Linked DNA regions of Caenorhabditis elegans. The protein of the gene in region 1 interacts with the protein of each later gene in a pairwise test. Each region holds a gene or a part of one and is shown on either strand. Other genes may lie near its edges.

Region 1 (4,671 bases):
TTTTTATTGTAACTTTTAATATATTTTCTTCCCAACTTGTGAATATGATTGATGAACCACCATTTTGAGTAATAAATGTATTTTTTGTGGACATCATGTTTAAATAAAGAAAACATAGGCAGTTTGTTAGGAGTTAAGTACACTTTCTGGTAAACTTAATGCCCCTTAAACTTAAATTACAGACAGAGAACTTATAATTTTCAATAGAGAAAAAAACAGACTTTCAGCGATCGGAACTCACACCAGCTACTCAACTACGCCTTTTTTGGTAAATCTTCTACAATAAGAGCCGAAGGTTCAAAAACGTAGTAAGCGTTTATTGAGTGAATAATACAGATATTACACAAAACTTATGACAACTTGCTTACAATTTGTGGAAAACAGTAAACTTCATCGGAGCAGACGCGCGAGACAACTTTTTGACAATGGTTTTTGTGATGTTGCTACCAGATAGCGCCGGTTCCGAATAGAAACGTTTATCTAAATTTTAATTAATTTGATCTTAAATTTAAGTTTACGAGCTTACCGTTGTTAAGAACTCCCAAAGCTTGATTCATCGCTTTCATTTGATGACTGAAGCCACAATCAAACGAGAAAGAGCTCATCTTTTTTGTAGAAGAATTAAGTGGCGGAAAATGATCAATTGGCACTTGGAAAATCATTTTTCTTGAAAATGTTGAAGAATAAAAGAATATAAAATTCTGCAGATTAATATTCTTCTATTCTTAGCCCATCTTTAATACTGGAATTTGGAACGAGTTTTGAAAAAATTTGACGGAACAGTGATGTAACTTGCCATAAGGACATAAGAAACGTCGTTAAACCATTCAAATAAATTGGATACGGTAATGGTCAATGCGAATCTGGGCGATTTTTGGAAACTCGATCAAAGATGATGAATTCAGGTTTTTGGGGCGTATAACATCAGCGTCAATTTCAGCAAAAATAAAATTATAAGGATTTGCGAAAATCATGAGTTTTGAATTTCAGATCATGTATAATGTCTGAGTAAAAACTTTTCACTTTGGCAGGAATGTTTCCAGGCAGCATAGTAATCAAGTTTACCATGCCACTCCTAAAACTCAAGCATATGCCGAATGTGAGCGGCCATTTCTTAACTCTGTTTATGTCGGCTGCATATGTGTTACTGAAGTATGTTATGGTTATGTATTCGAAGGCCGAACAAGGAGAGAAGACGAGTAGTTTATTACATTACTAAATTAAGGAATGATTAAGTTAGTTCATAGAGTTCACGTTGCACGATCTTCTTAGCCACGTCGTGGGTCAATACACGTTGATACCCAACAGTTATGACGTCATCAAAAAGGTCTCTGCGAGCACTTCACTTGGCAACTCATCAATCCTACATTACTTCAGTCAACTTATTGGCAAATTAATCAAAATCAAAAAAGGACGTGAGAATGAAAAGAAGATCTCCGAGAATCGCGGGAATTTAGACACAGACTTCTCAACTGATTTTGCATGGTTAAGAACGTGCTGACGTTACTTTTTCTGTGAAAAAAATTAGCGCATTGTTTGTAGATCAAACCGTAATGGGACAGTCTGACACCAAGTGCCCCACCTTGATCTCCCGAACTATAGCCGGCCCAATTGGCCATTTCATTTATTTGTTTAAATCATAATTTTCACGTTTCTTCCTCTTTCCGGTGTAACTCTTATCTTGACAAATAAGCATTAATATTATTTATCAAAAACACAAAACTAATACAAATTTCTTCCGTTTCTTCCTTAGTCATCAAGCTATTTTCTAACCCCCACGCCATGTCATTATGGAAAATGTCAATTTCCATAAGAATTTGAGCAGTTTTATGATTCACCTATTTTGTACGTTACAAGGCACATTCCAAATGAGCTAGCCTGCGTGATAAGTGATAAGGAGGCGGTTGATAACGCCCCGTTTTACCATTTTAAGTGTTTCAGACCGTTAATGTCGCTATACAACTATTATTTATTTAGATAATAGTGATTGGAACGGCTCAGTTTTTCTCATTTTTTAGTTTCAGTGTTTTATATTCAAATTAAAAATATTCAAGTTTTGTTTTTTTTTATTCAAAACTAATTTCTAGAATAAAAACGCCATGACTGACCCTCTCAACCCAACGCGTCTGCAAAATCATCCCGCTCTTGCAAGAATTATTGAAAGCGGGCGGACAAATTTGCCAACCGGAATAACTACCAGTGGAGCACTTTCTGCATATGCTCAAAATGCGGCTGCTATCATCAGAGACAATCGTGAAAGGGAGAAGGTTGAAATTGCAGATTTGAATAACCGATTGGCACGATATGTAGAGAAGGTTAGTTGAATTTTACTAGATTTTGAAACTGTGTAAGTGATAGGTTTATAATCATTGTTGTCCAAATAATTTTGGTATGGAGTGCGCCAAGTTTTTTAAATTTATTTTTATAATTAAATAAATTAATCCGGAAAACCTGAATAAAGTATCAAGTGCACACTGAGCCTTTACCAAAATATTAAATATTGTATAATATTCTGTTTGAACAAAACTATTTTTCAGGTGCGCTTCCTTGAAGCACAAAATCGAGTTCTTGAAAACGACATTGGTGTTTTCCGTAATGCAGCACACACACATTCGGAACGAATTGCTGTCTATTTTGAATCCGAAAAAGCCGTAAGTAATCATTTTTCTATTAAGCTTTAACTTTAAATTGCAGTCGCTTTTCACTTTGGTCCGTGAAAACAAAGCTAAGATCTCGACGGCTGAGCAAAATATCAGAAAACTGGAGCCAGATGTGATTTCTGCAAAGAAAAAGTTAGTTTTTTGTAAATTTACTATACAACTAGTTGTACATATAATTTCAGTTTGGAAAGCTCTTTCCAGCTGAGAGTTCAAACAAGAGAAGACAAAAGAAGTCAAATGAAAATTTTGTCAAACCTGGAGGCAGAGGTTAGTAGACACAATTTGTGTAAAATTAATACAAAAAATTATTTTTTTGACCTAGCAATAGTTCTGGTGCAACAGTAAAATTTCCATTTTTCAAATTGTTTTTTTGAGTTCTCCGATTTCTCAAATCCAACAATTTACAGAATTCTTACATCAAACGTCTCACAACTGACTGTGAAGAAGAAAAAAGCCGTGTCCACTCTGAAATTTCGCGTCTCCGAAGTGATATCAAACGAGTGCATGCACTGCGAGACAAAGAACGCAGCAAGCACTCAAGTTCGTCTCAAGAGTTATTGAAGCGTCTTAACGGGTGCATTTCACAACACGACATTGCCATTCGAGAGGAAATTAGCAAGGCTAGACGTGACACAACAAACAAGAACAGGGACTATTTCCACAATGAGCTGCACGCGGCGATGAAAGAGATTCGAGACCGATTCGAGAAGGATTCACGTGCCGCCAGAAAGACATGGGAGGATTGGTATCACAAAAAGATCACGGAAATCAAGAAGGGATCCGAAAGCTATAGCTCAATACAAAACCAGGCAAGAGAAGAGATTCTTCGAATTAGGTCGATTGTCAACGAGTTCCGAGGAAAGCTTTCAGATTCTGAAACTATCGTGAGTTTGGGAGTTTGGGATCATTTGTTGAAACGTTATTGAATTCAGAATCAACAACTTATCAAACGAATCGACGACTTGCACTTCCAAGACAAGGAAAATCTAAGATTGTTCGAAATTGCACTCAATGAAAAAGAAAATCTAGTAATTAAAATGAGAGAGGAATGCACAAAACTTTCAGTGGAACTTGACAAATTAGTAGAGAACCAGATCGTATGTTCAAAATTTAAAGTTTTAAATTCACAAATTTGTAAATTCCTTAATAATTTCCAGAACTTGCGAAACGAAATCAACCATTACCGCAAACTAATGGAAAACGCTGAGCACCTCCGTACCACAGTTCAAACCCACGTGACCTATAATGCTCCACCGCCACCCTTGCCACAGTCAGGCCCTAGAACAACTTCCTACCACGCCTATGGTTCGGCATACAACGATTCCTTATTGTAACAACTTCGATTGTCATGTTTTTGTTAATTTTGAGTATTGTAATTTCACAATTTCAAACCACCCATGTTCAAATGTACGGCTTGAACTTGCAAAAGTTTGAAGAATTTATTTTTCTCAATTTTCATGTTATTTATATGTTTTATGAATTAACGAATAAAATGTTTTATTTTACTTTCTATGTAACCATTAATCGGATGAAGGTGGGGTGTTCAGTTTACCAATGTAGATCAAAAATAATTCAAAAAAATTTTTTTTGGTACTCTTTCCCTTTTTGTTTCTGAAACCTGATTATGAAGAAGATGTAGGCTTGATGATGGTTGAAAAAAGTGACGTCACTGGGGCAGGGTTTTCTACACTTTTTTCGAAACGCAAAAGCCTTTTTAGTTGTTCTTTATATAGCAGCTCTGGTGTTTTTTTTTTCTAGCAGGCGTATGTGATTTGAAGTTCCTCTTTGATCACTTTGAAATGTAATAATGTACTGATAAACTGTACACGTGAGGTCTTATGTATTTTGTTTGTTTGGCCACACTATACTAGGCAACAAAATTCCAGTTTCCGCTTTTTCTGACTATAAATCATTGGTTGGCAACTCAATATGCATTTTCTGCATTTCTGAAATTATTATAAATGCAATTTCTCAAAAAAAAAAACGGTTTTTTTATATTTTTAAATTTTGA
Region 2 (6,047 bases), on another chromosome or scaffold:
CTAATGGAATTTTATAATTGATCCCTTCTTCTGCTCCTTCGTTCTCAGACGTTTGTTTCTTTGTAGCACTAAGAGGAACTTTGGGAATTCTTATTGGAATCGAAACTTCGTCATCTAGATCCATGTTTTCCGAGACAAGTCGTGGAACATCCATTTGTTGTGGCGGAATAAACTCGGTGTTCTGAAAATGATCATTCGGTTTTTAAAGACTTTAAATATTATACATACGATTCCAGAGTTCCTCGCTTCCTCCATTTCTTCTTCCATGCTTCTTCTTCTCTCAGTTTCGTCTAGTGTGATGGGGAGTTGGCGGAAAAGAAGCATTTCCTTCAGGTGTGTGGCTGGTTGAAATTCCTCTTCTATAAATAAAAAACAATATTTCTACAATTCATTTTTAATCATCAACCTTGTGGAATAGATTTGGTAGGTGTCATGAGCTGGCTCCGGATAAAGTCATCAGATGGGCGTTGAAAATCAGTCTCCAAATTCAGATTATGAACATTTTGACGGCAATCGTTGGAGGAATATCGATCGATGAATGTTCTGAAATATTCTATATATATTGCAAACAATATAAGGAGAGAACTTACAAATCAATCGCTGTGTTCCGATTTTCTGATTCCAACATCCCGTACATCATTTCAAGTTGTTCCATTGTTGGTGCAGCCAAATCGTCTTCAACGTTAATTTGGTCGTTCTTGTGAAGACTGAGAACATCTGGCATTGTAATGTTTTGTTTTAGAGCCACACTCTGTAATAGATTTTATTTTAATTTTGATTTTTGAAACATTTAGACTTACGATCGGGGTAGGAGTGAGAGGAAATTCCTCAACCATCGTTCTTCTCTTCTTCTTTGGTGTTTTAGAGTTGTCACCTTCCATCTGTTCACGAGTTTTTCGTTTCCTCTCATCTTCTTCCGCGAGGTACGAAGTGAATGCGACGATCTCTCGAGCACGAATTGCATCTTCTGTAATATTTGTTAAAGTGATAATTTAAATACTGGCAACGTACGAAGAAGTCGAGCAACTTGAGTACTGAGAACTATGGTGTTTCCGTACACCAAATTACACGCAATGGAGAGAGATCTTCTGTTTTTCCTCTCGTTACTGAGAATCCACTGAATGAGCTTGCTTGCTTGAAGAACATCGTGTCTGAAGCACTCACGACGATTTGATTGCAAGCCGAGTTTCTTGTGAGAACCAAAAACTATTCCTCTGCAAGAAAAAATTTATTAATCCGGCATAAAATACTTTTTATTACAATAGGAACTTCACAGTCGCTTCCTCCGACGCTTTGAGCGGTACATCGATGCTTATCACCATGCTGATTGTTACCTTTCTTACCCGTTTGACTTTCTGCAATTTTTAACTGCAAAGATGTTTAATGCAGATACTCGAAAGAAACGAAAAAATGATAAAAAAGTGAAAAACCCCAAAAATAAATTTGAAAACTCCGCGTAAGCTTGCTCGATCGCTGCGAGACCATTGCATACCGTACTACTTCTTTAAAGGCGCACACATCAAATCTAGCTGTTTCGTGACAGGACCCAGCAATGTTCAGCCGCGAAGTTTTGAATCGCCATTTTTTTTTAATTTCTAGAATGTTTATAGTTTTGCTTTCGATGAGATTTTTAAGCATTATGAGGAACAAATTTTTTTAAAAACTTTAGAAGTTTTAAAATTTAATTTTGCGATTATGCTTTGCTTTCGCGTGTCCTTTCCGTTGTTCCTCGCTCCAAATATATCACAGTAATTAACCACTACTTATGTAGTTATCACGTTTCTAAAAATATAAATTCATTTTTATTTCTCTATTGATTCGGTTTGTTGCTCTTCTTGTCTCAATCTTGTGCTACTGCCGAATACCCTGCTAATTTTTCGTTTTCAGTCATTCGATTCACTTGGGTTGTTGTTTAAAATGGTAAGATTTTTGCAGGTTACTTTCTTTCCCATGAGGTAAATGCATTTATTGCGGGTGCGCTCTATCGCACGACGCCGCGAATCATTGTATTTCAAATTGATTTTCCTGTTGCACTTTTATTAGTTACAATTTTTATTAGTTATTTTTAGTTGGATTCGACAATGGCATCCCGCAAGAAGCACTCCGAGCCCACGTCCAATTTGCGAGTCGCTGTTCGTATTCGGTGAGTTTTAAACTTATTTTTACTTCAGTTAAATATGCCCCTTTTATAGGCCAATGAATGGCACCGAGCGCAGTGAAAAGTGCACCAACGTTGTGAAAGTGGACAAAGGAAAACAAGCTATCGAGTTGAAGGGAAAGTCATTTGGCCCATTTTTCCGGACCTATGACCCAGACACGACTCAGGAAGAAATCTACTCGGACCTCGTGTCATCACAAATTAAGAAGGTTATCGCAGGATTTAATTGCACAGTTTTTGCGTTAGTAGACAGGACGGTTCAATAATATTCAATATAATAGTAATTTTCAGCTATGGACAAACTGGAACCGGAAAAACGTTCACAATGGAAGGAGGGAGAACAGACGCAAAAAGCTCAACTGATGACCCTACGACTGGAATCATACCTCGTGCCGTTGAGGATATTTTCGAGCAGTTGGAAAGATGCGGCTGTGAGGAGTATTCGCTTCGAGTCAGTTACATCGAACTCTACAATGAAGAACTGTTCGATCTCTTGGCTTCGACGGATAATGAAGATCGTGAACGCCTTCGCATTTTTGATGATCCAAACAAGAAGGGAGTAATCGTTTCGGGCGTGGAAGAAGTGCCTGTGCGAAATCGTTCAGATGTCTTCAAACTTCTACAGTTGGGTGCTGAGAAAAGACGAACGGCGGCCACTTTGATGAACATGCACAGTAGCAGATCTCACAGTCTCTTCATGGTCAATGTCGTCATTCGGGAGAATACAACCACTGGCGAGGAACTGGTGAAGCAAGGAAAGCTTAATCTCGTTGACTTGGCTGGTTCTGAAAATATCGGACGATCAGGAGCACAAGGAAATCGTGCTAAAGAGGCTGGTTCCATTAACCAATCGCTTCTGACGCTGGGAAGAGTAATTCGTTTACTGACAACCAATGGCCAGCATATTCCATACAGAGAGTCGAAGTTAACTCGTCTTCTACAGGACAGCCTCGGTGGATCTACAATCACTTCTTTGATTGCTACGCTATCTCCTTCAAGCTCCAATTTCGAGGAAAGTCAGAGTACTTTGGAATATGCTATGAGAGCGGCCAATATCAAGAATAAGCCAGTCTGCAACACAAAATTATCAAAGAAGACTATCCTCAAAGAGTATTCGGACGAAATTGAGAAGCTGCGAAGAGACTTGAGAGCTGCAAGAGAAAAAAATGGTGTTATTATCAGCCAAGAATCGCATGATGAGTTCCAAAAGAATTCGGAAAAAGTTCAGGAGCTCGAACAACATTTGGATAATGCTGTGGATCGTTTGCGAATTTTCACTGAAGATCAGATGCACATGGATGAGCAGTATAGACAGTTGTACGAGAGAAAAGGAGAACTCGAGGATCGTCTGAGAGATCGAATTCGCGAAATGGCTGTCAAAGAGAAAGAACTCGCAGATACTAACGATGTGCTCAACAAGCATATCGAAGTTATCGGTTTGATGCACACATCAGCACTGAAGGCATTCGATCAACTTACAACATCTCAAGGAGCAGCTGATGAAATGCAGACTGATCTTCGTGCATTTTGGCGAAAAGTTGATGAGATGGAAAGAGCTGACGACAGGAATAAAATCGTCATTGACCACTTCTCGAAAAAGGTAATATTAGGATTATCTCATTCTTAGTTAGATGTTTTTTTTCAGATGAGTGATTTCATCGACACGACCTCAAAGCTGACGAACTCGCTGAAAGCTGATGGTGATCTGTTATCAAAGAAGTTGTCGGAAAATATTTGCCCTCATGTCAAATCAATGGAATCTGCTCATCGAGACATTGAGAGTACGGCAATGGATATGGAGACACATGCCATATGCATAATGAAGAAATCGTCGGAAGCGGAGAAGAAAGTCATCGACAACATGACTGCCATATCGATGGAAAATCGAATCAGATTGGAAACAGTCATGAAGACGTGTGATGATTTTTACAAGTCATACTCGGCCAAATCTCAAGAATTCACTCAGATGGTAGTTGACAAATTGGATGAGGTGAAGAAACAAGTATCCGACTTCACAGAAGATATGAAACCATTGGTATCTACTCTCCATCAAACCACATGTGATAGCTACGAAGCACGAACGAATGAAAGTAAGAAGAATGTGGAGCATGTGAGAGCTGCCTGTTCTTCGATGGCTGATTCCATGAAGGCATTGATGTTGCAAGTTGAGCAGCTGTCGACGAAAGTTGCGGAGAATCATGAAAAGTAAGTTTTGCAAGCGGACTTTTTCTGATAATTGTTTTCAGACCATTATAGTTGTTGTGAGATCATGTTTTGATAATTTATTTTTCAGGCAAGTAATTGCGGATCAGAACAACCAAGAAACAATTCTGGATACTCTAAACACAGCAGAAACCGTAGTTCAATCACTCGAAGACAACATTGTGGAGACTTGCGATGTGAAACAAGAAATGGACGACACGAAAAAGACTCTGAAGCAGACTGATGCAAAACAGGAGAACCACATTCAAGTTGAAAAGGAACGAGCGGAGGAAAAGGAAAATGAAGTCAAGGTTCGCAGCAAATTTTTATTTTATCCATTTATACAAATCGATTTCTCGAAGTTGTTCTATTTTCATAAACCCAAATATTGTTCAATCGCGCAAGATAATACATTGTTTTCAGGTCGCTCTCAAGTCATTTTCGGATGAGGCTGAAGCTACGCGTGGAGAGGCAAGGGAGTTTTCGAACACCTTGAAAAGCAGGTTCTCGGCAACCAGTGAAAAGTGCAAAGTAACTGGCGAGCTGGTTTCGGATTGCACCAAGAAAGCAACAGACGAATTGGTTAGTTTTTCCGTGAAATGTGTCTCAATAATGTGATTTATCTTTCAGAGTTCGCTCCTCGATGAATTCACGAAATCGACTATTGTCGTGACAAAGGAGTCGGCCGCCGTTGTCAATTCTGTTGTTCTGGTTCACGTGGACCCATCAGGTTGGTTATCATAAAAAATAACCATCAAGAAAATTATTTTTTCAGTGAATGTCCCACAAAGAATTCTTCCATCGTTCCCACTCGTCTCGGAGTTGAATCAGCCAGTCGAACCCGAAGTTCTTCTTGGATTTGGAGAAGGAAATGACGACTTTGACACCGATGAACTTGCCACAAAGAAGCGTCGTGTCACATCCTTCGTCCGCCGAGACAGTCTTCTCGAAACTACGAACAATTTCCTCAGTCCTTCGTCGATTATAAAGAGAAGAGAACAAGCAATCGAAGAAGAAGAAGATTTCGAAAACTAACGCACACACCAACTCGTTCCATGTCAAATATTTTCTCATTTCTTTAATGTATTCCGCTAATTTTTCTCGTGAAATTCAATAAATTTCTTTGTATTTTAATGACCGGCGTTTTAAACAAATCATGGAAAGCAATTTTCAACAGGTTTCGGTGATATTTCATTATCACACTCATTTAAGATTCAGCACAAAACTATTAGTTCATTTTTCAGAGCTACAGTAACCCTCTGGAATAAAAATGAGCTATAGATCAAATTATCACAGGGATCTTGGAAACATGAAATGAAGTTACAAATTTTACTGAATTCTAGGTTTTTTGCGTTTTTTAGCGCGCTCTAATTTCAAAAAAACTGGCTCACTACGAAAATCTATCAGGTTACTGTAGTTTCGGCTGAAATAGTCTCAGCGAAGTCTCAGTAAATAGAAGTAATTTCAAGGATAACATTTATTCCGTCAACATGATAAAATATACGAAAACAAAATTCAAAAAAAAACAACAGAGAAAAACAAATAACAATTAATGAATCCAAAAGCTTTAACGCTTTCTGAACTTTTTGGCTCCACCTCTCTTGAAACCTCCAGTCGATCCTCTCTTCTTTCCACCTTTCTTCTTTCCACGTTTGCCATCGTCCTCTTCCAAATCTTCCAACATTTC

What was found.
Region 2: the proteins of ifd-2 (region 1) and bmk-1 interact in a two-hybrid assay, tested with the Caenorhabditis elegans proteins (one large-scale study listed by BioGRID).

The regions. Positions count from the first base shown.
Region 1 is NC_003284.9:813,346-818,016, reverse strand, and holds ifd-2 (Intermediate filament protein ifd-2), read left to right. Parts: upstream 1-2,087; 5' UTR 2,088-2,099; coding exon 2,100-2,315; intron 2,316-2,537; coding exon 2,538-2,651; intron 2,652-2,694; coding exon 2,695-2,792; intron 2,793-2,842; coding exon 2,843-2,927; intron 2,928-3,067; coding exon 3,068-3,544; intron 3,545-3,592; coding exon 3,593-3,757; intron 3,758-3,817; coding exon 3,818-3,994; 3' UTR 3,995-4,163; downstream 4,164-4,671. UniProt on the Caenorhabditis elegans protein: Cytoplasmic intermediate filaments provide mechanical strength to cells. Not essential protein.
Region 2 is NC_003283.11:14,452,750-14,458,796, reverse strand, and holds bmk-1 (Kinesin-like protein), read left to right. Parts: upstream 1-1,812; 5' UTR 1,813-1,917; coding exon 1,918-1,920; intron 1,921-2,069; coding exon 2,070-2,143; intron 2,144-2,192; coding exon 2,193-2,399; intron 2,400-2,449; coding exon 2,450-3,758; intron 3,759-3,803; coding exon 3,804-4,363; intron 4,364-4,451; coding exon 4,452-4,671; intron 4,672-4,783; coding exon 4,784-4,942; intron 4,943-4,990; coding exon 4,991-5,090; intron 5,091-5,135; coding exon 5,136-5,395; 3' UTR 5,396-5,495; downstream 5,496-6,047. Other genes in the region: coh-3 (Rad21/Rec8-like protein C-terminal eukaryotic domain-containing protein), read right to left, coding at 2-181, 229-359, 407-543, 591-751, 801-967, 1,012-1,214, 1,261-1,322; F23B12.7 (uncharacterized protein), read right to left, coding at 5,928-6,047.